2 linked regions of the Neodiprion lecontei genome follow. The protein of the gene in region 1 purifies or fractionates together with the protein of each later gene. This does not show direct contact. Links are inferred from orthologs where the notes say so. Each region holds a gene or a part of one and is shown on either strand. Other genes may lie near its edges.

Region 1 (16,659 bases):
ATTGCGGTTATTACTGCACGACTTATTGAGAATAAACTTGCTCTGAGATTACTTATTCAAATCAATTATATTTTCGATAAAATATGAATAAAAAATTCCATACGTTAAGTAGACTTTGATAAGCATCGTCAAGAGCGTCGATGTTGTCAACTGGAATTCTCATAACACAATTATAACGAAATTCGTCGGCAGCGATAACTCCGTCGTCTGAAAGAAGAAGAAGAACATTCATTCTCATTTTTAGACTTGTACGTGTACAGAATCGATGTAATAAGTGAAAAATAAAATACATCAAGAAGGCGTGACGCGCAGTTCTCGGGTGTCGAATCTATTGCTAGTAGTTTCCTACGAAGCCTACTATCTCACTTATTTTTAGTTACTGCAGTTTATAATATATTCGTGAGTCAGCTCGTACTGTGAACGAACCGGTAAAAATGTTTTCACTCCCAAACCTGAGATATAATAAATTATTCAATACATCGGGAGGTGAAACCCTCATTTTTGCATATTGCCCTACTCTTACCGTTTAAATCGACCAGCTTGAAATGACTGTCTATGAACATTTTCATCGCTTGAGGGAAATCACGATAAGGTCTTCCCATGCAGCTTCTTTGGACCGCGACTTTGAATTCTTCTGTCGTTACTACTCCATCCTGATGAAATTAAAAATTAAAACAGTAACACATTCTCACTGCATTTATATTGACTACTGTCTGCTTTCAGGATAAATGGCTTTCTAAATTTGACCTGATGGATCAGGATTCACTAGGCTCGTGTGTAAACGGCATTGTGCCAAGAAAACATCGATGGAAAAAATAAATAACTTCTAAACATATTCGATTTTTCAATTATGTCATATTGTTTTCAATTATATACTTATGTCTGTGTATAAATTCACCGGTAGATAAATATGCAATTTAAAACCCCTTACTTGTATTTGTACAGGTATAAATATTCCAACAAAATTACCATTTTTGTCCATCAAACAAAATTCATGACTATTGACAAATATAGTAAGAACATCCATATGCTAAGAACATTCATAGAAATTCACACTTGGGCTACGTGTACATATGAGGGAATATCACTGGTAAATTATTAAATTGGATAATTTATAGAAATCATAAGAAATATGGATTCCGAACGAAACTGTATAGTTTTAACCGGAGTCATCGTAACGACCATAGTCGTGAAAATTTTGCTATCTCCCCTCTGAATTAGAAATCTGTTACCACTCGTGTGTATACAAAATTTTTCTTATCAACCGGATTTCATGCTGGTGGAAAGGGCTCTAGTTTCACCAGACAAACGACAATTGAATATTTTCACACGTAATCGATTAATATTAAGTTAGATTTACGTGAATTGACAGAGTTAAAGTGATGAATATTTGTGAAATACATACAAGAATTACCGAATTTATTTTGGAAAATAGATTTCTGAATTTTATCGCTCGAGACAGTGGTTCGTTAATTTTCAAAGTTATTACTACAGTTTGAGAGCAATCGAGTGATCATGATTTTACAGATTGGAATAAAATTTCTTGCAAATTTATATTGTTCTCCGTATCGTAAGAATTACGAACAGGTATAGTTATCAAAAACTTACTACAGGTGACACATGGATATAAAAATTTTATGTTACCATTATACGTATATGATAGTTACAACTTACGTTACCAATTACAGAACGACAGAAAGACAGCAACGTGCTTAAAATTCATGTCGATGACTTACAAATTCTACCTTATTGAAATCCGCAAGTTCAGCGATTTCTTCCCACAGCGAAAGCATGACGTGAAGATTTTCTTGATAGTGATTATAGTTGAAATCACCTTTACCCTCGACAAGGGTCATTTTTAGAGCCATACACTCGAAATCATGCTGATCCAGCACCCCGTTGTTATCTATGTCTGATTGCGGAATAAATCTTGTTAAATACGACATGTTAATACTCTTCCTCAATTCCGTAGTACGGAAATGTACGGCTACGATTATTGTTTCTCGTGTAATGTAAAAATTGTACTAACCGTAAAGGAACTTTACTATGAAGCTGACTCGATTATCCCAACTGTATGCCATATTTTATTCGATAATGAAACGCTGTAATTTTTCTCAAAGAATGCGACTAGTTATTCAACAAACAAATATATATTACAAATTCAATGCCGTTACTATTTGTACAAACCCGTGAATTTTCGAATCCAAAATATCTTTCGGGAATTAAGGTACAAATCTGCGAGCAACGTTCGTCACACCGAATTCATGAATACTGAACACAATCTGAGACCGCAGCTGGATGGTCTAAGTTTAGATATGCTTGAATATCGGTAGCGGTACTTGAAATTGGCGACGAGGGATACTGTGAGGAAAAGTTAGACGTATCCTCTGCACAGGTGGTGGATGATGGGTGGAATCGTAGCCGTTTTGTCTGGTTGTAAATTACCGATTACGTTCAACTTGTAGTTATGCGGTTGAGATCGGCTGTAAAGGCTTTTCGCGCCGCGCCGGTTGTCTGATTAATGTTTCTTCTAACATTTATATCAAATGCGAACGAGACGTCTTAACAAGACCCAAAGACGCACGTATATGTCTGTCCGCACCGCGGTTCCGGGTTAATTTATACATACCTACATTCGTACGAATTACCGTCACATTTGAACGGTACAGGCAATTGCATATGCGGAAAATTATAGGGGTTTCATGCAGTGCGTGACATAACGCGTGTAAGTGTAGGTATGTGTGGAAACATGTACGACATGCGCGTAACAGTTTTGTGATAACGCCGCAACGATAGTACGGTTTTATAGATGGTTGCTAAAGCGAAGAACGAGTTGATTGATCGATTCGATAATTTAGTTCACTAATTCGTGTCCGCGTACCAATTGACTAATTGCCTGCTACCGGTCATCGCGAAGGCGTTACACTGTTACACACCAAACTGTCTGTGGCCGGCTTTAAATAAACTTATTCTACATTCTATGTATATACTCTCGGCTTAATAAGCCGGTCGCCCATGCACGATGTATACAGCTATTGTTAGGCGTATCTAACAATAAGTATATGAGCATATTACCACAACTATACCCGTGTAAGCCAAAACAAGTTGACCGGTTCAATGATGTTTAAATATGTTTGATTGAAACAGATTGCAATAAGAGTCGAATTCAATGTAAAGGCAGGCAATAATAAGATGGGAAAGAGGCTTCAATCGGTCACTATATTATGTGGCTGCCGATCGAACTATTATTTATTCAGTCGCTCACAATCAGATGCGATGTTAAAATAATTGCAATAATGCTAAACTGTTTGATATTTGCAAATCTGTAAGTTTCGTACAATACGGTCGTTCCGACAATCCTGAAAATAGGCCGAATGTTGAGCGAGCTTTACTTAATTCACATGGCGTTGATTCGATTGAAATATTGCGCTTTACAGTAGATGTACCCGTAGCCTGGATTGTCTTAAACTAATCACTCATGGAATTGAATATTTCCATACCGCTCGAACGATGCGGGACATGAAATACTCTTCCGTCAATTTGATTTTTGATTTAACTTACACCTAGTTTTAAATTATAAATAGACCGACACATTTGCCATCCTGTATACAAAACATAAAGAAGAAAGTGGTCTCGACAGTAAGCTGGCTGAAGTGTTCTAGATCTGTCGGTTTACGTCACATTTCAAGCCTGAAGTACTGCTCTGTGATTTCTAACATCGGTTCTAGGAAATTTAACTGAAAAATGACACGTCTGAATAGTTCTCAGTACCAGGGATATATCAGATTATTTTACCAAGGGGAATCGAGACTCCTAAACAAAAAACCTCGTGGCCAATTATCATGCGTGCCAAAATCTAATTAACAATATTAATTTTACGTACGGATAATGATAATTGAGAGCAAATTCGCTAAGAAGCTATCGACAACAGCCGTATTTAAATAAAATTGATCGCGAGACCTCTGTATGTTAATACTGAATTTCATACATGTAAAAATTTGATATATGTATCAGAATGTAAGAATACAATTTACTTTTAATATGGCGTGAATTAGCGATGGTACCTGTGAATCCCTTAATTAAGGCCAAGAAAAATACACAGTATAGTTTCAACAATTGTTAATAAAAATTGAAAGTTAATTGTTGGGAATAAAAATTGTAAGTATAGCACCGAATTTTTCCGAGGGATTTGCTGTATCTCGTGATGGAATTGGCAAAACCAGCCTGTGTCGGGTAAAGCTGAAGATTCAAAAGTAATCCATTATTTCAGTGTTTACCGCTTGGCGTCGTGTCGTCACGCAGCGATAGTGTAGAATGTAATAAACATGGCGGTGCCATCAGCTTCGCTTTCAACGCGAAATAAAAAGCATTTTCTAGGGGTTCCAGCACCCTTGGGCTATGTCGCTGGTGTCGGAAGAGGGTAATTTCGATTAATACATTTTTTAATTCATAAATATTACCTTACCGGCGAGGAGAAATTGACGTCTACGATTTAGCGACGTTTTTAACCTCGCTTTTTATTTGTGTTTACAGTGCGACAGGTTTCACGACTCGTTCTGATATCGGTCCAGCTCGCGATGCCAACGATGTTTCGTAAGATTTCTCACTTTAATTGCTAATTAATTTCTGCTGATTGACATCATGTTTTAACTTCAACTCATTATTGTAATTTGTAAAAATTTTACAGTGACGATCGACACGCTCCACCTACCAAAAGAGCTAAGAAAAAGGAAGAAGAAGAAGAGGATGAAGAAGATCTCAACGATTCCAATTATGACGAATTCTCCGGGTATGGAGGGTCGCTGTTTAGCAAGGTACGGTATTGTCTGACGAGCAAAGCGCTGAAGATTCAAGTTTACCTCCTATAGTATTAGCAATTCAGTATTACTGCGAATAGATTTAATTCATATTTGTATTTCAATTTGCAGCATAAGTTCATATTACCCTAAGTAAATTGCATTTTTCTTTATATGCTAATCTACACTTGAAATATAGACCCTTTTGCCAGTTATTTTCCTAATCTGGGCACAATAGAATAACTTTATTACTTTGAACCTCAGGTGATTTCTTTTCTATCCAGGATCCTTATGACAAAGATGATGAAGAAGCAGATGCAATTTATGAAGCGATTGATAAACGCATGGATGAAAAGCGGAAAGAATATCGTGAAAAGCGCCTAAGAGAAGAACTTGAACGTTATCGCCAAGAACGGCCTAAAATCCAGCAACAGTTTTCAGATCTGAAGCGTGAACTGGTTAATGTGTCTGAGGATGAATGGAAAAATGTTCCCGAAGTTGGCGATGCGCGTAATAGAAAACAGCGGAATCCACGAGCTGAAAAGTTTACGCCTTTGCCAGATTCTGTTTTAGCAAGAAACTTGGGCGGAGACACTTCTACTAGTATAGACCCATCTAATGGACTGGCTTCCATGATGCCTGGCCTAGCCACACCTGGTATGTTGACCCCAACCGGTGACTTGGATTTGCGAAAAATTGGACAAGCTAGAAACACGCTTATGAATGTGAAACTGAATCAAGTATCAGATTCTGTTGAGGGTCAAACAGTTGTTGATCCCAAAGGTTACTTAACGGATCTACAAAGTATGATTCCTACTTACGGTGGCGACATCAAGTAAGTCTCATAAAAAATTTTTTCACCAGTTTATCCATTTAATTTACAATACAATATTGAAATTTTTTTCAGTGATATAAAAAAGGCCAGATTGCTTTTGAAATCCGTTCGTGAAACAAATCCTAATCATCCCCCGGCTTGGATAGCATCTGCCCGCTTAGAGGAAGTTACGGGTAAGGTTCAAGCAGCAAGAAATCTTATCATGAAGGGCTGTGAGGTGAATCCAACTTCTGAAGACTTGTGGTTAGAAGCGGCGAGGCTTCAACCTCCGGAGACGGCAAAGGCCGTAATTGCCCAGTCTGTACGTCACATTCCAACATCTGTTAGAATCTGGATCAAAGCAGCTGACTTGGAAACGGAAGTTAAGGCAAAGAGACGTGTTTATCGAAAAGCCTTAGAGCATATTCCGAACTCAGTACGGTTGTGGAAAGTAGCTGTTGAGTTGGAAGAACCAGAAGATGCAAGAATTTTATTGAGTCGAGCAGTTGAGTGTTGTCCAACAAGTGTCGATTTGTGGCTCGCCTTGGCCCGATTGGAAACTTACGATAACGCGAGAAAAGTTCTTAATAAAGCTAGAGAAAATATTCCAACGGATAGACAGATTTGGACGACTGCTGCTAAACTAGAAGAAGCTAATGGCAATAAGCATATGGTAGAAAAGATCATTGACAGAGCAATTAGTTCCTTGAACGTTAACGGAGTTGAAATTAACAGAGAACACTGGTTCAAAGAAGCTATGGAAGCTGAAAAAGCTGGTGCTGTCCATTGTTGTCAAGTCATTGTCAAGTCCATCATCGGGTTTGGAGTTGAGGAAGAAGATAGGAAACACACTTGGATGGAAGATGCAGAAACAGTAAGTACAGTTTATTATCTACCATTAAATATGAAAAATCCTTTGGATCAGGTGACATATTTGGTTCTGAGTAATCGATTTTCACACAGTTGAAATAAATTGTGGCAGTGGTTTTTTAGTTTTAACAAATTTTACTGAAAAGCTACTAAATAACTTTGCTTCGGAACTATTTTTAATAAATCTATACAAGTACAGTCAATTTGAACAATATAAATGCAATTATTTGCAGTGTGCACAACAAGGTGCTTTGGAATGTGCTAGAGCAGTGTATGCTTATGCTTTAGCAACTTTTCCCAGCAAAAAATCGATCTGGCTGCGTGCAGCATATTTTGAAAAGAGTTACGGAACACGGGAGTCCTTGGAAGCGCTACTCCAACGGGCTGTGGCTCATTGTCCTAAGAGCGAAGTTCTGTGGCTCATGGGTGCCAAGTCTAAATGGCTTGCTGTAAGTAATCGGTGTTATACTTCATCCTCTTACTTCAATTAAGTTTGTTACACGTATTCAGTATCAATAACGTGTAACTGTTGAAATATATATGATTATTTCTATATCAAGGGTGACGTGCCAGCGGCAAGAGGTATTTTGTCATTGGCTTTCCAAGCCAATCCAAATTCTGAAGAGATTTGGTTAGCTGCAGTCAAGCTTGAGTCAGAGAACTCCGAATATGAACGTGCCAGAAGATTGTTGGCAAAAGCTAGAGCATCAGCGCCAACTCCTAGAGTTATGATGAAAAGTGCCAAGCTTGAATGGGCTCTTAATAATCTAGAAGCTGCACTGCATCTCCTCCAGGAAGCTATAGAAACTTTTGAGGATTTTCCCAAGCTTTGGTTAATGAAGGCTCAAATAGAAGAGCAACAAGGGAATCTTGACAAAGCTCTGGAAACATATAATCAAGCTGTGAGTAAATCGTTTTTGTTATTCTTCCAGCGTGATAGTTTGAAGAGTTCGAAATGTGTAATTTTGAAACAGATCATTTCTTATATAAAATCGATTGAAGTATGTGAGAATTTACCTGGTTGTTTTGCAGATCAAAAAATGCCCCACTTCTGTGCCATTGTGGTGTTTGTTAGCTCAACTTGAACAGCGTAAAGGTCAAGTGACAAAGGCTCGTTCTGTACTTGAAAAAGCACGGCTTCGTAATCCGAAAAATGCGGAGCTTTGGCTAGAAGCTATTCGAAATGAATTGAAAGGTGGAGGGGTGCGAGACATGGCTAATACGTTGATGGCTAAAGCTCTGCAAGAATGTCCTACGTCTGGTCTGCTATGGGCTGAAGCAATCTTTATGGAAGCACGACCACAACGGAAAACGAAGAGCGTTGATGCGTTGAAAAAATGTGAACATGATCCCCATGTTCTACTGGCAGTCTCCAAGTACGTAGGAAACCCAGATTACGCAAGTTCAGCGAGATATTTCACGTTTATTCAATTTCTCCTAGTTTGGGGAGCTGTTTGTCGTTATTAATTATACATCGTATCTGTTGCAGGCTTTTTTGGTGTGAGCATAAAATATCCAAGTGCAGAGATTGGTTTAATCGCACCGTTAAGATAGATCCTGATTTAGGGGATGCTTGGGCGTATTTTTATAAATTTGAGCTTTTAAATGGCACTGAGGAACAGCAAGAGGAAGTCAAAAAGCGATGTGTAGCCGCAGAACCGCATCATGGTGAAAATTGGTGCAGAGTATCTAAAAACATTGTAAATTGGTGTTTAAATACTGACCAAATATTGACCGTAGTTTCTAAAGACTTACCGATTCCTATCTAAAACCGAGTGTCAAAATTGAAAATAATACCGTATTTATAAATATAGATTACTGTAAATGTATTATACATATATTATGTTTAGGATGGTAATATTAAACGACATTAAGTACGAATTGTTTACGTACCTTCTTGATTTAAATATCATACATAAAATGCAGCAAAAATTGAAAATTGAGCTGAAATTTGACAGCATCAAATCTCAAAATCTTGTCTATGCACAAGTTAAAATTCACCAATAGAAGCTGGGCCACATATCAGATTCTAGCTTAGCGAATAAGTTCACTAAATCTATTATAGAGCCACCATGAATAATGGGAGCTGCCTTACGTATTTACTTTATATCACTTTATATTTACTAAAAATGGCGCTTGTGGCTGATAGCGTGATTGCGCCGCGAATTAAAAATACGTGTTAACCAAATAGATGATTGAATAACGTGAGTAGAAAATTTAGGTGTCGTCGCAACGTTACATCTAACGTTATTCTCATTTATTATCTCGTAAATTCTTTACGTTTCACACTACGCGTATCATCACGGCAACTGTGATTCGAACCTAACCTATACATACTGACCAGTTTTTTAACTGTTTCAGGTGGACATCGGGCAATGTAGTATCCCGATGTAAAGATTTAAAAAACAAGTGTCACATCTCGTAATTGAACGTTTTTGTCAAAAAGTGAAAACTAATATATATTTTAAAACATGACGCATTCGCAAGTGCTGGATTTCGTTCAGCGACTTAAATCGCGGCACGAAGATGTTAGGATTAAGGCGGCACATGATTTATCTCTTTACGTCAGAACAGAGCTACGTGAAGTCTCCCAGGAGGAGATGACAAATTTTATGGACGAATTCAATCACCACATAAAAGAAATGGTCTCTGGTTCTGACATGAATGAGAAGAAGGGAGGTATACTAGCCATAGTTTGTCTAATCGGTGCTGATGGTGGTAATATAAACACTCGTACTATAAGATTTGCAAATTATCTAAGAAATCTATTGCCGTCGAACGATGTTGGAGTTATGGAATTGGCTGCAAAAACTGTTGGGAAACTCGCACTTGTCTCTGGCACCTACACAGCAGAGTATGTCGAGTTTGAAGTGAAACGTGCTTTTGAGTGGCTTGGCGGAGACAGGCATGAGGGGAAACGACATGCAGCTGTCCTTGTACTGAGAGAATTAGCCGTCTCGATGCCGACGTATTTTTTTCAACAAGTATCTCCGTTTTTTGATCTCATATTCAACGCGATACGTGATCCCAAACCGCTGATACGAGAAGCTGCTACCGAAGCTCTCAGAGCTGCTCTGGTTGTCACCGCTCAAAGAGAAACTACAAAGCAAATGCATAAACCGCAATGGTACAAAGAATGCTTTCACGAAGTTGTACAATGCTTCAATGATGCTGATGTTAAGGGGCGAGGGTCCAACAAGGATGCCGCTATTCACGGATCTTTATTAGTTTTGAACGAGTTATTGAGATGCAGTAACGCTCAGTGGGAAAGAAACTATGAGGCGTTGATGGAGAGACTTAATTGCTCTACTCAACAGATGGATGATGATATTCTGTCTCTCATTCCTCGTCTCAAAACTCCGATTGTACCAAATTGGACAGGCCCAGTTCCAAGTCGATCCAATACTCTGCAGACAATTCATCCGGTTCATGAATCTGCCGCTTGTCGCAGTCTATTACAGGAGGGCTTGGATAATATTTACGCAGATGTTATGAACCAAAAACTATCAAGAAATCCTCATATACAACACGCGCTGATGACGCTATTACCACGGCTGGTTGCTTTCAATAAAGAAAAATTTGACAAGCATCACTTGGCACAAAGTATATCGTATCTTTTGATCACTTTAAGAAGCCGCGAAAAAGATAGACATGCAGCATTTACAACTATTGGATTAATTGCTGTTGCAGTTGAGACTGGCATAGAACCTTATCTTCCGGAAATTATGGAAGTGATTAAAGCTTCTTTACCTTCAAAAGAAACGCCGAGTAAGAAACGAGGTACCACACTTGAACCGGCTGTATTTATCTGCATTACTTTGCTAGGGCATGCTGTTAAGCAAACTATAGGGCCAGATATAAAGGTTCTCTTAGAGCCAATGCTTGCCACTGGTCTGAGTCCAATTCTTACAACATCATTGCGCGAATTAGCTCATAGTATACCATCTTTGAAGCCAGATGTTTCTCAAGGATTATTGAGAATGCTGTCACAAGTACTGATGCACAAACCACTGCGACATCCCGGTGCTCCGTGGTCAGCTACAAGTCCAATTTCAGCTCCAACTGCAGAAGCTGACCTTCCTTCGACGGTGCTTGCGCTGAAAACACTTGGTACGTTTAATTTTGATGGAAATCCTTTACTCCAGTTTGTTCGGAGATGCGCTGACCATTTCTTGACATCTGAACAGTCTCAGGTCCGTTTGGAAGCTGTGAAAACATGTTCCAGGCTTTTGAGGCTAGCATTGAATCAACCAGGGCCAACGGTTACCAATACAGTTTCTACAGTGCTAGGAAAATTACTAGTCGTCGGCATCACAGACACTGATCCAGATGTGCGATTATGTGTCCTCGCGTCGCTTGATAAAAGTTTTGACATTCATCTTGCTCAAGCAGAAAGTTTGTCAGCCTTATTTATTGCGATGAATGATGAAATTTTTGAAATCAGAGAACTCGCCATCTACACAATTGGGAGATTGAGTACTATGAATCCAGCCTACGTTATGCCTTCACTTCGGAAAACGCTGATCCAATTTCTAACAGAGCTTGAACATTCTGGTATGGGACGTAACAAAGAACAGGCTTCGCGGATGCTCGATTATTTAGTAATTAGTGCTCCACGACTCATTCGACCTTACATGGAACCTATTTTGAAAGTTCTCATTCCGAAGATGAAAGAACCTGAGCCTAACCCTGGTGTTGTCTTGGCTGTACTTAAAGCGATTGGTGATTTAGCAAGTGTTAATGGTGCAGAAATGCAACAATGGATGCCGGAATTATTGTCAATACTACTGGAAATGTTGGTCGATGCCAGTTCTCCAGACAAAAGAGGTGTCGCCTTGTGGGTTCTTGGCCAGCTGGTTGGAAGTACAGGACATGTAGTCAAGCCATACACACAATATCCTTTTTTACTCGATGTTCTTATTAATTTTCTAAAAACTGAGCAATCACCAGTTACCAGGAGAGAAACAATCAGAGTACTCGGACTCCTAGGTGCCTTGGATCCCTACAAGCACAAAATGAACCTTGGTCAAATAGATTCACAGTTTGATTCACTAATGTCCATGGCTGATATTAGGTGTAAAAGTGATGCCGAAACAAGTCAAGATCAGTCGACTAGCGAGATGCTTGTAAATATGTCGACTTCAACTCTGGAGGAATATTATCCAGCTATTGCGATCGCTACTCTCATGCGCATCATTCGGGAACCCACCTTATCTCAGCATCATACCATGGTTGTGCAAGCAGTAACATTCATTTTTAAAAGCCTTGGTATAAAATGCGTACCATATATTTCTCAAGTTATGCCTAGCTTTTTGAACGTTGTTCGCACTGCTGATATTGGATTTCGAGAATACTTGTTTCAACAGTTGGCTGTTCTTATTGCGATTGTTAAACAACACATTCGGAATTATTTGGATGACATTTTCGCTTTGATTAAAGAAGTGTGGACTGTGAATAGTCCGTTACAGAGTACGCTTATTCTTCTTGTGGAGCACATCGCTGTTGCTCTGGGTGCTGAATTCAAAATTTATTTACCACAATTGATGCCGCAAATCTTGAGAGTACTGACACATGATACCAGTAAGGATCGTGCGGTGACTGTCAAGCTGCTTCTTGCTTTGCAGAAATTTGGAAACAATCTTGATAATTATCTGCATTTGGTACTTCCGCCAATAGTGAAACTATTCTATGCTACAGATTGCCCAATTTCGGTTAATAGAGTTGCGCTGGAAACTGTCGACGACCTTGCTGATACATTGGATTTCACTGATTTCGCTTCAAGGATAGTGCATCCGTTAGTAAGAACATTGGACACATACCCAGAACTAAGGATGCCGGCAATGGAAACTCTCTGCGCACTTTTAATTCAACTTAGAAAGAAGTATCAAATTTTTATACCATTGGTTCAGAAGGTAATGACTAAACACAAAATCACTCATCAACGCTACGACGTACTCACAGATAAAATTCAAAGCGACTCTACCGTAGCTGATGGCGAAGACTATTTACTTACACGTCCTCGAGACTCAAGACGCCAATATCGCGATTTATCTTTGACATCTTCTGATACCACAATCATCAAGCGTCTTCATGTGTCAGCACCCAATCTACAGAAAGCCTGGACAGCCACGCGCAGAGTCTCCAAAGATGATTGGCTAGAATGGCTCCGAAGTTTGTCTATCGGATTGCTCAAAGAATCACCTTCACCGGCATTAAGGTCATGCTGGGCGCTTGCTCAAACTTATTCACAGCTACCAAGAGACTTATTCAACGCAGCTTTTGTGTCATGTTGGACTGAACTCAGTAGCACATATCAAACGGAGTTAAAAGAGACCTTGCAGCAGGCACTAATGGTGCCCGACCTACCGGAAATCACACAAACTATTCTGAATTTGGCTGAATTTATGGAACATTGTGACAAAGGACCTTTACCATTAGATGCCAAGTTACTGGGTGAGCGAGCCATGCATTGCCGAGCTTATGCTAAGGCGTTGCATTACAAAGAAGATGAATTCCACGAAGGCAGAAACAGCAATGTTTTCGAGTCACTGATTTCTATCAATAATAAACTCCAGCAAAAAGAGGTTGCTGAAGGATTATTGGAATATGTTATGAAACAGCAGAATCAACAAGATCTTAAAGTGCAAGTACGTTGGTATGAGAAGTTACACAATTGGGATAAGGCATTAGATTTATATAAAGATCGCTTAAACATTGATCCAACTGACGTAGAATCAACCTTAGGCGAGATGAGATGCTTAGAAGCACTTGGCGAATGGGGGCAGCTTCATGATGTTGCCACCCGACAATGGGCGAATGAAAATGACGAAAATAAACAAAGAATGTCTCGAATGGCGGCAGCTGCTGCATGGGGACTTGGGCAGTGGGAAAGTATGGAAAAATATGTCAACTTCATTCCTGAAGACACCCAGGACGGTGCCTTTTATAGAGCAGTGTTGGCTATACATGATGAACAGTATGATGTGGCCCATGAGTTGATAGACAGTGCAAGAGATTTATTAGACACAGAACTGACTGCGATGGCTGGAGAAAGTTACCAGAGAGCTTACAACGCCATGGTGGAAGTTCAGAAGTTAGCTGAATTAGAAGAAGTAATACAGTTCAAGTTAATTCCTGAGAGGAGAGCAACAATAAAATCAATGTGGTGGGACAGATTGCAAGGTGGACAACGTGTCGTTGAAGATTGGCAAAAAATTATTCAAGTCCACACACTGGTCGTTTCTCCACAGGACGACATGTACACATGGCTGAAATATGCTAGCCTTTGCAGAAAAAATGGCAGTCCTATGTTATGTCATAAGACATTAGTTATGCTGCTTGGAATGGATCCATCTCAGAATCCTGATCAACCATTGCCAACAACGCATCCGCAAGTCACATTTGCTTATTGTAAACACATGTGGATGGCGAATAATCGAGAAGCAGCTTATAGTCAGTTGCAAAGATTTGTGCAAACGTCATTACAGCCGGCAACAATATCTGTGTTAAATCAAGAAGATGAGAAACAGCAAGAAGCCAGGAAGAGATTACTCGCTCGGTGTTACCTAAAACTTGGAGAGTGGTTGGAGGCTTTGCAAGGAATAAGCGAGCATTCTATACCAGCTGTGTTATCTTACTATGCAGCAGCAACAAAACATGATCCTTCATGGTATAAAGCTTGGCATGCTTTTGCTTATACAAATTTTGAAACCGTTTTGTTTTACAAACATCAACAAGGTGATACCAATCTCGATAACGTACCTGGTAATGCATCAAGGTCTGCATTAGCCAGCTCTCAATACATTTCTCAGTTCACTGTACCAGCAGTCGAGGGTTTCTTCCGGTCTATTAATTTGTCACATGGCAGTTCTTTACAAGATACGTTACGATTGCTAACGTTATGGTTTGATTACGGACAATGGCCGGAAGTGTATGAAGCGATTGTCGAAGGAATAAGACTAATTGAAATCAATACTTGGTTGCAAGTAATTCCTCAGCTCATTGCGAGAATAGACACTCCTAGAGCCTTAGTCGGCAGATTAATTCATCACCTGTTAATTGATATTGGTAAAACTCATCCGCAGGCATTAGTTTACCCCTTAACAGTAGCTTCAAAAAGTGCGAGTCCCGCTCGTAAAGCTGCCGCTAATAAGATACTAAAAAATATGTGCGAACACAGTCCAACGCTGGTGCAACAAGCTGTATTAGCTAGTGACGAATTGATTAGAGTTGCAATACTGTGGCATGAATTGTGGCACGAAGGCTTGGAAGAAGCCAGTAGATTATACTTTGGAGAACGAAACGTCAAGGGAATGTTCGATACCTTGGAGCCTCTTCATGCGATGTTAGAACGAGGGCCGCAAACCTTGAAGGAAACATCATTCAATCAAACTTACGGAAGAGATTTGATGGAAGCAAAAGAATGGTGCCACAGGTATAAAATGTCTGGAAATGTGAAGGACTTAAACCAGGCATGGGATTTGTATTATCATGTGTTCAGAAAAATATCAAGACAGTTACCTCAACTAACAAGTTTAGAATTACAGTATGTTAGTCCAAAATTGTTGGTTTGCCGAGATTTGGAATTAGCTGTACCTGGTAGTTACAATCCTGGACATCCAGTTATCAAGATTGCCAGTATCCACAGCTCGATGCAAGTTATTACTAGTAAGCAACGCCCTCGGAAACTTTGCATCAAAGGTTAGCATCGAAACAGTGCCATTTACAAAAGTATTTCCATTTGAACGATTTGTTAATTCTTTTCATTTATCTCCGTAGGTAGCAACGGTAAAGATTATATGTTCCTATTGAAAGGTCATGAGGACCTTAGACAAGACGAACGTGTTATGCAGTTATTTGGTCTAGTCAACACACTTTTGTTGCATGATCCTGACACATTCAGGCGGAATCTTACAATTCAAGTGAGTTAAGAAATCTTCAAACAAATAGTAATTTCTTCGTACTTGAAATTCAAATGTTCGTATGCTCCTTTGTTTCATGTACAGAGATATGCTGTAATTCCTCTATCAACAAATAGTGGGCTTATTGGCTGGGTTCCTCACTGCGATACGTTGCATACGCTGATACGAGATTATAGAGAGAAAAAAAAGATACTACTGAATATTGAGCACAGAATAATGTTGAGGGTAAGCATGCTTTTTTTTACAATTTCACAATATTTTCTGCTTCATCAATATTAAATGTGAGATAAAATAAACTGCTTACAATCTATGCTTATTTCTACAAAGTTGAATTATCTATTTTATACAGATGGCACCGGACTATGATCATCTTATGCTGATGCAAAAGGTCGAAGTATTTGAACATGCTTTAGAACACACGCATGGGGATGACTTGTCTCGCCTTCTGTGGCTCAAATCACCTTCCAGTGAAGTGTGGTTTGATCGCCGAACGAATTATACTCGTTCCCTTGCTGTCATGTCAATGGTTGGTTACATACTCGGACTCGGAGATCGGCATCCCTCTAACCTGATGTTGGATCGTCTTAGTGGAAAAATTCTACACATCGATTTTGGAGATTGTTTCGAAGTTGCTATGACGCGTGAAAAATTCCCGGAGAAAATTCCCTTCAGGTTAACAAGAATGCTGATCAATGCTATGGAGGTGACAGGGATCGAAGGAACATACAGACGGACGAGTGAATCGGTTATGTCGGTGTTACATCGTAACAAAGACAGCTTGATGGCTGTGCTTGAGGCGTTTGTTTACGATCCACTGTTGAACTGGAGACTAATGGACAACGCAGTTCCAAAAGCTACAAGATCAGATGCCCCGGGTATTGCTGCCAGTAGTAGCCAGGAGCACGGAGACATGCTAGATTCTCACAGTGCTATTTTGCCAAAGAAAGGAGTTCCTTGCAGTCTTGAAAATGGAGGTAAAGTTTGCATTTAAAAGATGAAGAATATTGGTAATTAATCTTTCGCGTAAATAGTTTTGGTATAACGTGTGTTGTATTAGTTCACTTGGAATCATATGATAAATCATATTTACGTCCTCTCAAATTTTTGTGGCACATAGATACTAGTTAAAATTTTGCATCAAGCAAGTTATATTATATCACTACCTTTATCTAGGAGATAAAAATCAACCGGAGGCTCTGAATAAGAAAGCACTTGCAATAATAAACAGAGTGAGAGACAAATTAACGGGACGTGATTT
Region 2 (17,023 bases), on another chromosome or scaffold:
CCAGTACGTGCTGGAAGATGAAGGCTCTTGGGCGCTGGGAGATAACTTCCTGAATTTCATAGGTTTCTATTTTCTATCACAGACCGTACAGAAGGTGAAGTGCATCATTTTTTCTCACCTCTAATGTGATTATTTCTCATTAACAGGACGTTTGCTCTACGATAAATCCCTCGATGCAGCAGTTAGAGTGCGTCTTTTGAACGTACTGGCAGTTGCAGCTCTGAAAGATGATGTCATTTTGCTTTTACACCAAGATCGTAGAGAACATATTCTGATGAATTATGCTTTTGACATTGATCGTCACCCACACGAAGAACAACTTTCCTTATCACTATTTGTAAGTAAACATCTTGGTGGTGTAGTATTTAAATATTTAAATAATCGCGCCCAAAATCAACATGATATCCGAAGGGAGAGTAACACTACAGTAAGATATGTAACGTATATATTTCCAGATGGCAAATATGTTTGAAAATCTAAGCAGTTCCGAGTGGCTCTTGTACATTTCTGAATGGCCCTATCAGAACCAGAACATCAGCAATATCAGAGTGACAACGAAAGTCGCTGTACATTCGCTTCTCTCCGAAACACCCGAATTACAAGAACGAGGCGCAGCAATCATTCACAACCTTGCTTGCAAGGAGGTAAAAACTGTGGTCTGTATCCTATATCCAGCTTATCAATTAACTTTTTTCAACTTTTACTTACAGCTGTTAACTATGTGCCTGACATTATTAGAAAGACGTTATGCAAATTTCACTTTTCTTTGCATGTTTATTGCTTTGTGTAATAATTTCCTATCTCTTATCGATGGTTTCGTGGTGATTTGACATAACGTAAACGACTTATTTACATTCTTGACATTCACGGAATAATGACTTACAACTCTATTATAAAAATCAGTCGGTAAATCACCATTATAGGACAAGCCTATGTACGAGTTCTTCAGAATTTCCTTATTATGGAAACATAGCTTTTGTACGAACGTTAGGCACATGATAAGATTCATTTTACTTGCGTCTTTTTGTGTAATACAACTATCAGACAAAATTTGCATCGAACAATTTGTTTCTATACGTAGCAGTAGGTAACAAAATTCAAAACAGAAGCAATGAATGGTTGTTCAACGGATTGTCACTAACATTTCAACATGCGAAAATTATCAAGCTCTCGTAGCAACTGCAGTTGAGAACAGAGTTCTCATTGTATAATGTTCTCGTCTGTAACATGTATAGATTGTTGTAGCTACAGCCTGAGATACTACTGGATAGAAGTGCTGCCTTATTTCCTGCAGCTTTGGCCTATTATTTGTCTAAACTGATGAGCTATTAAAACTGCTTTGGGTATAGAGTTTCCTACAAAATTTATTCAAGTTAACTGGCATGCTTGCAATATGAATTCAATGGCTTATGGGTACCAGCAATTATTATACTTTACTATGTAAAGCAATAAATGATGATACGTTTATTCGTGTTAATTAAATTCAGCTGCATAAATATCAAAATTCGAACAGATACTTCTGCAGGTATTGGATATTTTTTTCAGAAAATGAACAAAAGCAAAAATCTTCGGCAACTTTTACCAAAAGGCAGCATTTCTAAGGTACAGCTGTTAAAGTCCCTTCTGTAAATAAGTTTATTTGTAAGACAAAATATCAACACAATCTACACAGAATTGAATACTTGCAAATTGCCAACGTATGTTCATTCTTAATTTTCAAATAGACGTTGACTCGAATTGTAATGTGAATTTGAACAGCTATTCATTACTTCCAGTTTTCCTGTTATACCAAATTTGGTTTATATTACATATAGAATTCGTGCTACACATTTGGTACCAAGGAACACTGCGAATCCATTTCAGCACAATTTTTAAGAAACTGGCTCAGGCACCCAATACTTTTGCCGTTCTTATGAACTCTCTCAATTTAGGTGTTCGATGACGTCGCCGTTGAGCTGACAATGGCACTTCTACAGTACTTCAACAGCAATCCATCCGAGGAGCAATTATTCCGTTGTATGAAAGCACTGGCTCGCTTTACGCAAATCAGCGGACAGGAAGTACCACAGCTAATTCAAATGATTGGTCCGGAACCGAACAAGTTTCGCGGGGTCTCTCAAAGGGTGGACGAACTAATAGACCAAGTCAATAAGAAACTGCGTTAAACTTGTTATAAATTGAAAAAAATATATAATATAATTTGGATATATATTAAATTATGGTTTTTCAAATGATACTATTAGTTAAAAGGAACGCCCTGCAATTAACAGGTCGTCATTTTAAACCAATTATTATAATAATAAATTAACTGATATCAATTACACGGTTGTATATTAGATAAAAAAAAAAAACTCAATGCGAGAAAAAGCACAACAGAGCTGAAGTTACGTATTTACCTACAAATTCTGAAGCATATGTGATAGAACAATATGTTTTATTAGCATGTTAATGGATTTTTACAGCGATATAACAGAGTATTATGTTAAAATTGAAACCGAGTGCTTTTTTTTTTACTTGTAATATATAATAAATCTAACACAGATACATTATGATTTATACCTAGTTGGTATTAACATCAAGTTAAAGATATTCGAAATTACTTACGAATAAAAAGTTTTTTGATAGAATTTTAATACACATAAATTCAAGTCACTAAGATATTTAACGATAATCGAATGCATTTTATTTAAGCAGATTTAATAATTATTCAGTATTTCAAATTTTTTTTATTCACGATTTGTATACTATTTTCCTATAAATAATCTACCATTTGATACATCATAGTGATTGTAATTATAAATAGTCACCGAATTCAGTTGTCAAGTGCTGTGCAAATAGTGATGTGCAATAAATCATTAAAATCGCTTTGTTTCTTGCTGTTTTAGATGATATTTTCTTACGAGCATCATAACTCATAAAACTTTTGTGTGTACAAGGATGGCGAGAATGCTGCTGTACATACGGTTAAATGCGTTATAAATGCCTATTCCTTACAGATGCAGACTAATATACATGAGTGTGGAAACGTATTTTTTATCATTAGGTAAAAACCTTATCAATCCAGTGGCACTTTTCTAGGTCATAAAAATATCGCGAATGGAAGCTTTGCAAGGTGTGAATTTACGTGGATTTCACTGTTTAATGTTGACTCAAGTCACCCAGATAAGAATTATTGACGCACTTACACCGTAGAGATGCAACATTCGATTTATATCATTATATCTCTTCGTGATATACCAACGTGTTCTTCGCATAAAACTTCTATCAATATCCATTCCAAGTATCACCGCTGCGAATGTCTAATTGTAAGTATCAAGTTTAGATATCCGTCAAAAGCCCAAGTCATATTCAAAACGTTTGTGAACTATGTCGATTGCTCTGCCCTGTATGGTATTTTATTATTTTTCTAATAAAAATGTAATTATCCAGGTACTGTATGTTGGAATTAAAATTTGGATTTACCTCCAACTTGCTATGTGCTAATGTTTGAATTTTTTAAAGTAATATCAATGAAAGGATCGATTACGATCGAGGAAGAGGAAGATGAGGATAAAGTTGAATCTTCAACCTGCGTGGATAAAATCTCCCGATTTATACCTATACTGGAATGGTTTCCACGATACACACACCTCGATGCGGTCTCGGATTTAATTGCAGGGATAACACTAGGGCTGACCATGATTCCTCAAAGCATAGCATACGCTGCGTTAGCTGGAGTGTCTGCTCAGGTATGCACAAAATTGAAATTAAGAAAATGCGATGTGGTAAAAATTAATCGTTTTTCATTGTATTGAAAATAAGTTTCTTCTACAGTACGGACTCTATTCTGCCTTTGCGGGTAGTTTGATTTACATATTTTTTGGAAAAATCAAAGAAGTATCCATTGGCCCTACTTCTTTAATGTCACTCTTGACAAATGAATATACCCGAGGCCTGCCGATAGACTTTGTATTTCTCCTTGGTTTTCTCTCCGGATGCATGGAATTACTATTTGGACTGCTTAACTTCGGTTCGTGATGATGAAAAAATGACGAATGTACAATTAAATTGCCTGCAGCGTTAATATCAACAAATTCGTATAGTATAAAAGTTGTTAATTGAACAGCATATTTTATTATGTTGAAGTTGCGTTCGTAAACGTCGAATATCGACACAGATGATGTTTAATTCTGACAGGATTCTTGGTGGATTTTATCTCGACGCCTGTTACATCAGGATTTACCTCAGCTACATCGGTGATCATTATTCTCGGACAACTAGAAAGACTGCTTGGTCTTGAATACAAAACGTCTTCCAATGTCGAGAAGATTTTTAAAGCATTCCAGCATATTGGTGACATTCGAATTGGTGATACCCTGATCGGTGTATCAAGTATCATATTTCTACTGACATTCAGGGTAGAGAAAATCTTGTACTATTTTTTCCTGCAGCTTTAATTAGTGGAACGTTTGAAAAATTTTGTCACATACCTCTAAGAGAGATAATTAATTCTTACAGAGACTCAACAATGTGAATCTACGCTGTCGCCTGAGTGAAAAAAAGCAAAGATTTGTGAAAAAGTTATTGTGGTTTCTTTCCATCGGTCGCAATGCTCTACTCATATTAATCACAACCATTATTGCGTTTATAATGGAAAGAGCTGGCAAATCCCCTTTCGTACTTTCCGGTAAGTTTATCAATAGTTTTTCTAAGTCTATTCTGCACTATAAACTGACAGACGCGGACTCCTTTCTCAATTCATGTTCACAGGTAAAGTTGAGCCAGGGCTTCCATCTTTTGGTCTACCTCCGTTCAGTACACAAAACGGCAATCAAACATATACCTTCGTCGAAATGTGCTCGCAGCTAGGATCTGGAATTTTCATCATTCCTCTAGTTGCTGTGTTAGCTAATGTTTCAATCGCTAAAGTGTTCGGTAAACTATTCTGTTTGTAAATATAATGAAAAGTGATGGATTTCAACTTCTGATGTTCTTAATCAAGCGAACCTGTTTCAAGCAAGTGACAAGGGAGTCGATGCAGCTCAAGAAATGCGCAGTTTGGGTTTGTGCAACATATTTGGTAGCCTTGTCCAGTCGATGCCAACATGCGGTGCGTTCAGTAGAAGTGCAGTGAGTAATTCAAGTGGCGTAAGAACACCCTTGTCTGGTCTCTATGCTGGTAAGTCTTCTAAATATGATACAAGCTAAAACTGCATAAAGTAACTAACGAATATTTTGTTTCTTGTGATTACAGGGGTCTTGACTTTGTTAGCTTTGAGCTTCCTTACACCCTATTTCTATTACATTCCACGAGCTTCGCTAGCCGCTGTTCTTATAGGCGCAGTGATATTCATGATAGAATGGAGCATAATTCCAATACTGTGGAAAGGAAATAGTGAGTTACAATATTTCTCCAATCACCATAAATAACCAAATGATTAAGCTATTCCTTTTTTCACTAAATTCATGTCCGTTAAAGGCTTATAATTATTTCATTTTTAGAAAAAGACATGGCGGCGACAATTACTACGTTCGTTGCATGCATTATATCAGTTGAATATGGACTGCTGTTCGGAGTCACGTTGAACATACTCTATCTGCTACACGCGTGGGCAAGACCAAATATAGAGATATCAAAATGCAAGGTGCGTAATCGACGCCTCTGCTTGATAATCAAAACGGTTTATGAGATTCCCAGTTAAATCTAATTGCCACTCTAGCTTTCCAGAATATATGTGTTCAGCAAAATTTTCTCATATGGAGACTAAACGACTGTTTTTATGTTTTCCACAGACTGCTGACGGGGATAAATACATCCTAATAAAGCCAGACATTGGATTATATTATCCAGCGGTAGATTTTTTACGTAATAACGCAAATCAGGCTGCAGTGAAAGAAGGGAAAAATATACTTCCCGTAGTTTTGGACTGCGATGGCTTCAAAAGCATTGATTACACAGGGATGAAGGTAAGAAAAATACTTTCTGCTGAATTCCGTTTGTATAAACTTTTCCAAATAAATTATGTTTCGTAGAAACTATTATGCAGAATACTTTTCAACAATACGTCATCACTTAACTTTAAAGAAGCTGTTGGAATATGTTATCCCACTTTTCTAGTGCATCGAAGCGATGATTAATGACTTTGAGAAGAAAGGGCAGTGCTTAATGTTCATACGCCTGAACGCAAAAGTGTTCAAGAAAATTGAATCACTTGGTGGTATAAAAAATCTAAGACATGCAAAGAACGAAGAGGATATCGTTGGTAAACTTTTCTGTGAGTACAATGCTGGATAAATATATGAACACGTTGCCAGGAAGTAATAAGTTTGCAGCGTTGACTTTACAATCTGCATACATGACTGTAAACGGCGTGTGGTATCTTAAATTATGATGCACAATTATAATCTTTGTGTAACTGACTTGTTTAGATTTATAGCGACTCATTTCGAGTTCTCTTCACATATCTGGTGAATTCTGCAAATCTGCTAACCTTGCATTTATTATTTCTTTTCAACCTCATAGTCGCATCTGATCTTATATAAATTATATTCAATAGTCCAATTTTTTATGCATATATCCTATACTTTTCAAGTAAATGGCAGCTTGCACCAACTTTCATTCAGTCATCCGGCATAAAAAAATCGAGATTTATTTGCTATTTTCAAATCTCATTTTGCGTAATAAGAGGTGATGAAATATTAGAAAAGTATTAAACCTGTAACATTTTCTCTGTGAGGAAAAACTTTTATTTCTCGTGTTTTGAATGGTTATTCCGGCTTGCAGGTGATTCATAAGGAAAGATAGGAAAAAGGTTTTCGAGGCCAGAACTACAAATTTTATAAAAAAATATAAAAAATATCGACGCCGTGTATTTCCAAGTACCACTGAACGAAAATTCGTTTTTATTTTTCCCTTATTGAAAGTTTGAGTCCTTGAACTTTCGATAAAACCATAAAATGACTGCAAAATAAATATGACAAATTTTTTAGTAGTGTTTTTTACTCGATTAAACATATTTTTTCAAATAGCTCCGTCCAATTTAACGTTAAAAAAACTCCCCTTGCGACATTTACATGGATAAGTTTCTAAGAAGTGAATTTTATAAAATGATGAATTAAGAAAAAAAAGTATGCACAATAACTTATATCTTAGATACTATCAAAAGTAGCTATTATTACTATGACTTAATTTTATGTTAACTTGAACAAACTTTTTGAACAAAGAAATACTGGGTTTAAAAAAAACGCCCAAAAAATTTTATTTGATAGCCATTCTTGTTCAAACCCAATCTACGAAATTTGATTTTACAGAAAGAAGGACATGAATTTTGAAGCGAAAAATAAGAATCAATTTTCGTTCTGTGGAAATTGAAAATATACGCTTTATTCGTCAACACGTGAGTTTTTCAAGAGCAGAAACCACCCCCATGCAGGAACTGATCTTTTTTTGAAAAATTTGGACGCTTTTACATCGATGACAATTTTTGTGTTTTTTTTTCGTCCAGCTATCTGCACATTGCATCTCAAAAATAATTAAAAAAAGATCAGTCCCTCAATTACCAAAATATGAAAGTTTATTTTTCCTCAAAGATTTGGAACTTTTGAGGTTGAAGGTTTCCTCACCCTAGTTTTTCAACACATGCAATAAAAAGTGAAAATGGCAGACAAATCTAAAATTCGGTTCTGAATTAGGGGGGGAAGAATGATGGATTGAGCGAATTACAGTTCCGTGCAGTACAGTAAAATTTCTATTTCAGATAATACAGTTGAAATGACGAGAAGTGCAACAGTGCCAATTTTTGAACAGACGAAAAGTGAAACAGCAGACAATAATACTATAGGAATAACACAGGCTGGAAGAGATACAGCAGATAATCGAGAAGAAGAACATGAAGGCAAACCTTTAGTGAGTGACTATCAAGCAGTAATAAAGGAGTTTGAAACATCTGAAAAATAAAAATTGCAAACAAAACCACCCGAGTCATGAAGAAATAAGGATTTGGCATCTATAAAATTGTTTCTCTTGACTATAATAATGTGTGAATATGCAGCTCTCAATGCGATGCAAAGCAAATTCTGCTGCTTTTACGACTTTCATATTTTTTTTTTTTGTTGTCAATAACACATTTACATAAAGGAAGAGACACCATTTGTCTACCCTATTTCAAATTCTATACAGACTTGGGTGAAATAATCAGAAGACCTTTTGAATTACGAAGAAACTTAAGAACATGAATAGGCTACCCAGTAAACCAAAATGAATTGAATGGAATTAAATACACCCAGAAACAGAATAAACGCGAACTGAAGCGAACTGAAAAGACTTATGTGCTAATTATTTTGAATTTATTTTAATTCGTGTAAATTTTATTTTTGCCGTACTCAAATCAAGTTGGTCGACTGGGTGTGGTTCTTTTATTCGCTTATCTACATTTATGTGTAATTTTTAAACATCCGCAAGATTAAGGTGTTGACTTTGAAATACTTTCAAAACAAGAGTGAGCAGTAATATAAGGATATTATGACATTGGTCAACATATGTTATCATTCTGCTTTGAGCAATATTAAACTTAATGATGTAGGTAGTAGAAGATATGGTAATTATAATGGTACAGTAAATCATAGAGTAAATAGTCTTCAAAATCTCTGATATTCAAATAGTCCTACAGCAGGAGGAAACAGAAACTCATTGTCAAAAGCAGTTTCTTTGGGACTGGTTGACATCAACTTCTTAGACTCTAATATGTGATTAAGAAAGAAAAGCACGATTCTTTGTAAATATCATAAATATGGTAACTATATAACAATGAATACATGCTCTACAATTTTTTTTCCAAATACATCAAAATAGCTACGTAGCACTTAGGTATCTGCGAACAAATAATATGAATTATTTATTGAATCCGGTTGTAAACAGACAAGGAGACATGTCCGTGAAACCTTACGTAATAAAAATAAACTGATCACAAAGAATTTATATTCATCAAGTCAGAATCAAAAATTTTCTAAGTATTGTAATAAAAATTGATTTATCTTTCCTAGTTTTATACATTTTTTATTACGGAAGCAATGATAAGTCGGCACCGAAATGCAATAAAGATTCAGCCTTGTAAGACGTTGAATCATAGTTCAGAAACTCAAAATAGGAAAGAGTAAACAAAATTAAATACAGAAGATTTATAAGGAGATTTAATGCAAGTGACGAGTAACTTGGAGTGGTAAAACGTCGTAATAAATGTGTACCTATGCGTATATGGGTAGCAGCCATAAGAGTGTAGAAACCTGTGTTACCGACAGGGGAAAAATTAGACAGAGAGGGAGAGAGAAAACCGTGGCTTACCGTGGACCTTGCGCCGTCCGCGTGGTCATGAAATCGTGTAGCAAATTTAAGAGGGAATATATAAGAAAAAATTGAGAAAAAAAGATTTCAATGGGTGAGCCGTTGATAAGATTCGGTGATGGTTAGTCGGAGAAAATTGAAATAATCAATCCGACGCGAAGACAGGTTTAATGTCAAGAGCCCGAGCTGAGGATGGAACGAAAACAGTAGCGTGTAACACAGGCGTAATCAACATGGTGGCTCATAAAATAAACTTGCGAAGGCGTAATAGCGTGGAGATAATTTGAGCTGTAGAAGAAAAAATTGGTGAAATGCGTTTGTTGATTCTGTAAAGAAGTGTCATCAATGTATGGTTACTGGTGATTTATTTTACTCGCCAACAATGTCGGAGAGCGTGGATAACCGAAACGGGAACAAACACGATCAGTATAATAATACACATCCAGACGACGTCGACTGGAAATTACCAATCGCTTTCAACAAGCCGAGGCACACAGCGACGATTGAAGGGGTTAATTGCATCACGCAGACATGGCGAATGAAGGAACGGGTATGTTTTTTGACAGATATCAACCCCATCGGCTGCATATTCTGCGTCAAATATTAATCGATATAGTCGAGCGGACCATGTGATCTTGTCATGACCATGATGTCACACTTCCAGATGAAAACTGTGAGCGTCGCGCTCGTTTTATGCCTCAATGTTGGCGTCGATCCACCGGACGTCGTCAAAACTCAACCCTGTGCTCGACTCGAGTGTTGGATCGGTATTTCATGACTTTCCTTTATTTATTTACATCAACGTTCTTTGTCATGCCAATTATGTAACAACCACGGCGTACTTAGGTTATGTTGTCTTTTCTCGCCTCGTGTAACCGCTCCTTTTGTCCGGTCGATAATGCAGGTTTTTACTGAAGTTTCAATTGATTCAATGTTTGATCAAAAACTCATTTATTCATTAATACTGAATGCCGATAAAAACGAATGTAGTGTCGATGATTACTTCAATCTAATGCCTTTCATGCAATGTTTAAACATTCAAACTACCAACATTCCAACCCCAGATACTTTTTCACTCCGATTGTAATATGATACATATTATGGGCAGACCCACAGTTGATGAGCCCACAAAAGGCTCTAGAGATGATTGGAAAAAACCTTCAACTGCAGTATGAGCGATGGCAACCACGTGCAAGGTACAAGCAAAGCCTTGATCCGACTGTCGAGGAAGTAAAAAAACTATGCACGTCATTGCGCCGCAATGCCAAGGAGGAGAGGGTTCTATTCCACTATAACGGTCACGGAGTTCCTAAACCCACCAGCAATGGAGAAATATGGGTTTTCAACAGGGTTAGTCGTCTAGCAAGCTTGATATTTCATTGCAGAATCGTAAATCCTTTCCAAATATCACAATAAGTGAACCATCACCAATTACCACGGATTATAAAATATCACTGTAATCACTAACCAGTTGTATTTTTCTTTTCAGACATACACGCAGTACATTCCTCTGTCGGTGTATGATCTGCAAACATGGATGGGAGCACCTTCTATCTATGTATACGACTGTTCAAATGCTGGAATCATCGTTGATTCCTTTCAGCAGTTTGCTGAACAGCATGAACGGGAATACGAGGTCAAATTACTGCATAACTTACATATTTAATGTCAGAGATACATGACTCTCAAGTGTGAAAACAATACTAGCATTGCTCAAGTTGAATTCATTCACTTAAGAATTTGAATCTTAGTTTCGACCAGAATATCATATATTTCTATGAATTGCTGTAAATGCCAATCACTGGTTCTATATTCTCACATTTTTTGTTCTTCATGCACACATCTTTAGTGTCGGTTTAAAAACTTTATGTACAGTGAAGTTTCAAATTACGGAAGGAGAACATACTTTTTCGCCGACATTATATTTTCTTTTTTTCACAGATGGAAAAGCAGGCAGTTCAGCACAATAGGACGGCGGGCGTAGCCAGCGCGACTGCCCCTTCTTACAAGAATTGTATACAGCTGGCAGCTTGTGCTGCTAGTCAAATACTTCCGATGAATCCTGATTTGCCTGCAGATATATTCACAGCTTGTCTTACAACTCCCATTACAATTGCATTACGCTGGTGAGATGAATAAACCATAGTATCTAAAACTGTTGTAGTGGTAATTGACTGGTATAAATCTGTCTTATTTAATCTCGTTTACAGGTTCGTCATGCAGAATACATCAAAATTAGTGCCTAAGGTGTCCCTAGACCTTATCGATAAGTAAGTTCCACATGTCAACTGTCCTAAATTTTTCACACAATATGATAGTAATGAAGATGAAGATTGATGTTTATTTTATTTATTTATTATTATTATTTTTTTTTTTTTTGTAGAATACCAGGTCAGTTGTCAGATCGCAGGACGATGCTAGGCGAACTAAATTGGATCTTTACGGCTATAACAGACACCATTGCTTGGAATACGTTACCTAGAGGTATATCAATACCTCTTTTTCTAGAAACATTAGATGTGGATACCAGTTGATTACTCAAAGGACTATTTTGTCTTTTTCAGATCTGTTCCAAAGATTATTTAGACAAGACTTACTAGTAGCTAGTTTATTTAGAAACTTTTTGTTGGCGGAAAGGATCCTTCGATCCTATGACTGTACACCTGTTTCATTCCCAAAACTACCACCAACGTTTCAAGTGAGTAACACTTTGGACCGAATCATTCTTATGTTAATGATCGAGTTCTTACAAAAACAAAAAGGAACTGGCTCAGGACGTAATAGCTTTTAAGATAAGCTTCTAACATTATTTATATCTGGCAGTTGAATTTGACAGTAAATCAAAACACAATTCGAAGATATTTAAGTCTATAATGAGCAAATGGTTTCGTTATACAAGTCACAGGTACAATCACTTGAAATTAGTTACCATATCCATAACTGAGCCGATAATAGAAATGAATTTCTTTTTTGTGCAGCACCCAATGTGGCAGGCTTGGGATTTGGCTCTTGACCTCTCTTTAGCTCAACTAGCAGCGGTATTGGAATCGGAGACTTTATTTGTTCACTCGCCATTTTTCGAAGAACAACTCACAGCCTTCCAAGTATGGCTTACGTTAGGTTCAAAGTCTCGCAACCCTCCCGAACAACTGCCAATTGTATTACAAGTATTGCTGAGCCAAGTACATAGGCTCAGAGCTTTGGAGTTGCTTGGAAAGTTCCTTGACCTTGGACCATGGGCTGTAAACCTAGCCCTAAGTGTTGGGATATTTCCTTACGTTTTGAAATTACTACAGAGCAATGCAAGAGAATTAAGACCCTTGTTAGTTTTCATATGGGCAAAAATCCTTGCGGTGGACAGTGTATGTTCAACGTCTGTTTCATTACTATATCTATATATGAATCAATCAATTGTTTATGAACTAACTAGTATAATATTATAGACGTGTCAGGCAGATCTAGTGCGCGACCATGGACATAAATATTTTCTTTCCGTTCTTCAAGATCCTACAATACCGGTAATTTGTTATGTATAGCTACTACCATTCCTCTGGCATTACAATCTCTATGACTTGTTAATCATAGTTTTAATCTTTCTCATGCTCGATTTCTTAGAGCGAGCACCGAACTTTAGCTGCGTTTGTCTTGGCTAGTATCGTAAACAACTATCCAGCAGGGCAGGAAGCTGCTCTGAAAGGTAGTCTTGTGTCAATTTGTCTGGAGCAACTAGGTGACCCAAATCCTCTACTACGACAGTGGCTATGCCTGTGCCTTGCCAGACTTTGGCATAATTATGATGCAGCTAGGTGGTGCGGAGTCAGAGATATTGCGCATGAAAAACTCTACACTCTTTTGCAAGATCCAATACCTGAGGTGACCTTATGACCTTATGAATGACCTTATTATTCTACAGTTAGTTGTCCCTAGATTACATCTATTTTATTTCAGTTGTTTACTCAAGTGATTTGTTTCTCAGGTCAGAGCAGCTGCGGTCTACGCTCTAGGAACATTTATAAACAGTGTCACTAAAAGAAGTGAACATGCCAATAATATTGATCAAATTATCGCCATGACGCTTATAAATACTGTTAGTCACGATATGAGCCCTCTTGTGAGAAAGGTATGTGTTATCCTTATTCATTCAATTATTCTTTATATTATCAAGCATAGAGTAATTGGTTTAAATATATCACGATTGACATACATGTGATTTCTAGCCAGGAAGTCTTTATCTAACGGTTTTCGTTTTTATTCACAGGAATTAGTCGTCGCTTTGCAATGGATGGTGCTACATTTTGAAAACTCGTTTGTAACTTTGGCAGTTGCTGAAGAAAATAGTAGGCGGGATCCAGTCGTCGAGACTTTATCTCCATTCACAGGTATGCGTCGGATCGGTTCGAGAGATAGATTAAAAATTCTTTCGCCAAATAACGCTTATGGCACGGATACGACAGATTTTAGCCAAGATCGCATGAAGAGAGTATCGTCTTCTTCGTCCATCAGTAGTTTAGGTAAAGTACTTGTACAACGTTTCAACTGTTTACTGCTTTCATGATTTAAATCAAATCATTTTTTTTTTGTTTTTTAAATGCATATTAAATTTCACGACATCTTTCAAATCGGAAAAAGCGTTAAAGATAAGTTTGTTATGTTCCTAAGCTCACGTAATTGAAGAATTTATATTCTTCGGAATTTTTCTAATTAATAAATATACTAAAAAGTGACTCAAGTCTGATCATATGATTCACACCGGAAAATCTTTGAGCCAAACTTTAGACATATTTGCTCTGTTAATTAGTAAACGATTATCAGGACACTCTACTCATCTTACAGCTATTGTGATTGGAACTCGATCTCCTAGGATATCCAAAAGGTGTTGAAACGAAGAAAGCTGTAGTCTATAAAAATTATATCAGTTATTTTAGCATCTCTGAAAAAGAGTTTCAAAACTTTGAATTGCATAAAATATAGCTGAAACCCCAGAAAAATTGATGACGTTACTTGTTATTGCAAGGAACGGTTCGCTTAATAAGTTGCAGTTTTATTTTAAGACTAAGTGTCTAACAGCTTTTCTTTTCAACTTTTGGCATACCAGGAAACAACTGGGAATTTGTAAGAAAACCATGCGAATCAATCGGTAATAATTTGTGCAAAACATAATCATATCGTAACCGAATGTCTTGATGCATGTTTGGCGATTATTTTCTAAATTTAATTTAGAGTTGGTGGATTATTAGAAATTTTTTTTCTTTTCTTGCATGCAGTTAGTGATCAGTTGAAGTGAAGGAAATTCATAATCACATTTGAGATTTTCTTACTGTAGAAACCATATATGTTCGCAAGATAAAATAGATTCGGCTAATCTGTCCATCACTTTTTGTACAGGTCAATCATCATTTGGTAATCTCCCAAGCTTGTCTTACGGAAGTGTGTACATGAAATTGTGGCATGGCCTCTGTAGCCTCGATAGTGATCCGCATCCTTCGGTCGCTACAATGTCTCAGAAAGTTACGAACCACATTCGTAATCAGGTAAAATTCCCACACATAGTATCAGCTCTCAGTTCAGTGCTTGTTTTTTAAACACAATCCATGATGCTGAAAATTGCTTTACACCATCAACAGTACAAATTAGAATTTTACATGATGCAGAATTTGACAAATAACATTTTTATAAAAAGCAAAGTCTAAAAATGTTGAATATCCAGGTCAAAGAATGTTCAGTACCAAAAGAGGTAACAGAGGCAAAGCTACCATCAATCTCCCTTCCCCCGTCGCCATCTAGTCGAGCTAGCTTTCTGACGTGAGTAAAAATTGATACGAAAGACACGAGGATCGTTTCACATAATTAAGATAGTCAATTTTCAAACTTGAAATTATTTTTTTATCCCAGTAAGGGAGAGTCTCTTCCTACAGTCAGCGCTACCTCGGAAATTCTACGCCCTCCAAGGGTACCACTACACGGAAGTCGGACGAGAAAAACACCTCCGATTAATACAGTAAGCTTCTAAATTGCTGCCTTGATATAATTCATGTTACTTAACAAAATGGAACTGTAACTTGCGTAAATTCAGATAACTGAAGAGGCTGATGAGGTTTTGGGTTTCAAAAATCCATTGACAACGTCCTTATTCGTCGAATGGAGTTGCGCCCAATTTGCTCAACCGGTCAGTTTAGAGAGTGAAACAGAATCCACCAATGACATAGAGAGTAGAGCTCACTATGAACGGGAGTGGAGGTAATAAGTAATTTAATTTTATACCTAAAACTGATCTCAAATTAATTTCGGTATTGTAACTCGTGGAATTATAATCACTAGATATCTTCGAAACAAGAAACAACGAAGAGACGCAAAAGAGGAACAGATCAGAGTTGCGCGAGGAAGATTAGAGTCTCAGGTCTTTCATACACGAAGCCCTCAACCTCCTGAAGTTGTTACTTTCCACCCATTTGACAAGCATCTGGCTGTCGCAGCAAAAGATTGTTTCGGGTAGGTTTCTTAAAATTTTGTTTATCTAACGAAACTTAAGGAGTCGTTAAAAATCATTACTTTGTCATTGAAAAATTGATATTCCCGTTTTATTTTTACAATGCCAAGTAGTATGATTAAATCTTGAGCCCACAATTATTGTCAACTATTTCACATCTTTACCTTAAGTTGAAGGATTAATATTATTCGTTATTGTGTAGAATATGGGACTGGCAAACCGGTACAAGACTTACATACTGCACAAGCCGCGGGAGTAAAATGGCTCGTGTAACTGCATTAGGTTTCATAAATTCTCACGACGTAGCACTTCTGATGACTGGATCTGATGACGGCTCTGTAAGAATATGGAAAAATTATTGTAACATGTTGGGTCGTGACCCTACGCTCCTCACAGCTTGGCAAGCCTTAGCAGATGCACAACCTGCTTCAAAGAGTCCCAGTGGTAAAACCGTATTTTCAATTTTGCAATTTATATCACTTTGGTACCTGCCAGATCGTTAAAATCACATCAGAGCATAGTCTCCAAAATAATTTTGTTATTCACGTAGAAACACTTGAAACTTAAATTAAGTAAAAAAATTTTCAATTCATTGTAAACTATCTTTCGATACTTCCAACTTTATTCCAAATCAGCTTTCACTTCAATTCAAAATGAGTGATGAACAGTCAAATCTCACTATATATTGTAAGTAGCTGGTGTCCCTGGTTCAACAGTACACAATTCAGCTTCAGCCGGCCTTATCACCAGCTGGGAACAGCGCTCGCTAACACTAGCCGTTACTGGGGACGTGCGCATAGTGCGACTCTGGGATGCTGAAACCGAATTGAAGAAACAAGATATACCCACTGGGGCGGACATCTGTGCTACATGTCTAGACACGGATGGTTCTGGTGAGTTCAACGTTTTAAACTAAATTATCAATCACATGCAACTGCTAACGTGCATTTTTATCTAACTTCAATACGTTTATTCGTTCGAAAATTAAATTGTTTGACCATTCAAATGAATATCAAAGGCACCTTGATGGCTCTGGGATGCGGTGATGGATCGGTGCGTCTTTTCGATCGTCGGCTTCCACCTCATGAAGCAAGAGTGATGACATGGAGAGAGCACACAGCCTGGGTTCTTGGTGCTTACTTCAGAGGTACGGCGACAGGTGCCCCCCGACTCATCACAGGCTCATTATCTGGAGATATTAGATTCTTCGATCTCAG

The links.
Region 2: the proteins of serine/threonine-protein kinase mTOR (region 1) and regulatory-associated protein of mTOR purify together in Drosophila melanogaster (affinity purification with western blotting; 3 studies listed by BioGRID, with this or other methods). This does not show direct contact. The link is inferred for Neodiprion lecontei from reciprocal best matches to the Drosophila melanogaster genes mTor and raptor.

The regions. Positions count from the first base shown.
Region 1 is NC_060260.1:29,831,739-29,848,397, forward strand, and holds the start of serine/threonine-protein kinase mTOR, read left to right. Parts: upstream 1-8,595; 5' UTR 8,596-8,684; intron 8,685-8,841; 5' UTR 8,842-8,951; coding exon 8,952-15,180; intron 15,181-15,258; coding exon 15,259-15,401; intron 15,402-15,485; coding exon 15,486-15,626; intron 15,627-15,750; coding exon 15,751-16,375; intron 16,376-16,574; coding exon 16,575-16,659. Other genes in the region: sarcoplasmic calcium-binding protein 1, read right to left, coding at 104-207, 524-653, 1,737-1,912, 2,030-2,081; pre-mRNA-processing factor 6, read left to right, coding at 4,326-4,420, 4,534-4,593, 4,688-4,814, 5,081-5,631, 5,704-6,484, 6,714-6,929, 7,041-7,382, 7,513-7,856 and 1 more. UniProt on the Drosophila melanogaster protein: Promotes cell and tissue growth, maintains tissue homeostatis and controls responses to environmental stress and aging. Regulates growth during animal development by coupling growth factor signaling to nutrient availability. Central regulators of autophagy.
Region 2 is NC_060264.1:8,292,417-8,309,439, reverse strand, and holds the start of regulatory-associated protein of mTOR, read left to right. Parts: upstream 1-9,301; 5' UTR 9,302-9,668; coding exon 9,669-9,869; intron 9,870-9,983; coding exon 9,984-10,086; intron 10,087-10,427; coding exon 10,428-10,669; intron 10,670-10,808; coding exon 10,809-10,955; intron 10,956-11,260; coding exon 11,261-11,445; intron 11,446-11,529; coding exon 11,530-11,589; intron 11,590-11,702; coding exon 11,703-11,803; intron 11,804-11,883; coding exon 11,884-12,017; intron 12,018-12,297; coding exon 12,298-12,681; intron 12,682-12,762; coding exon 12,763-12,837; intron 12,838-12,934; coding exon 12,935-13,192; intron 13,193-13,295; coding exon 13,296-13,439; intron 13,440-13,577; coding exon 13,578-13,830; intron 13,831-14,414; coding exon 14,415-14,456; intron 14,457-14,704; coding exon 14,705-14,850; intron 14,851-15,026; coding exon 15,027-15,121; intron 15,122-15,211; coding exon 15,212-15,317; intron 15,318-15,392; coding exon 15,393-15,556; intron 15,557-15,637; coding exon 15,638-15,808; intron 15,809-16,008; and 5 more. Other genes in the region: uncharacterized protein LOC107222111, read left to right, coding at 1-62, 147-337, 456-644, 1,546-1,602, 1,932-2,165; sodium-independent sulfate anion transporter, read left to right, coding at 3,296-3,305, 3,502-3,728, 3,814-4,009, 4,177-4,397, 4,498-4,666, 4,750-4,914, 4,997-5,158, 5,234-5,374 and 4 more.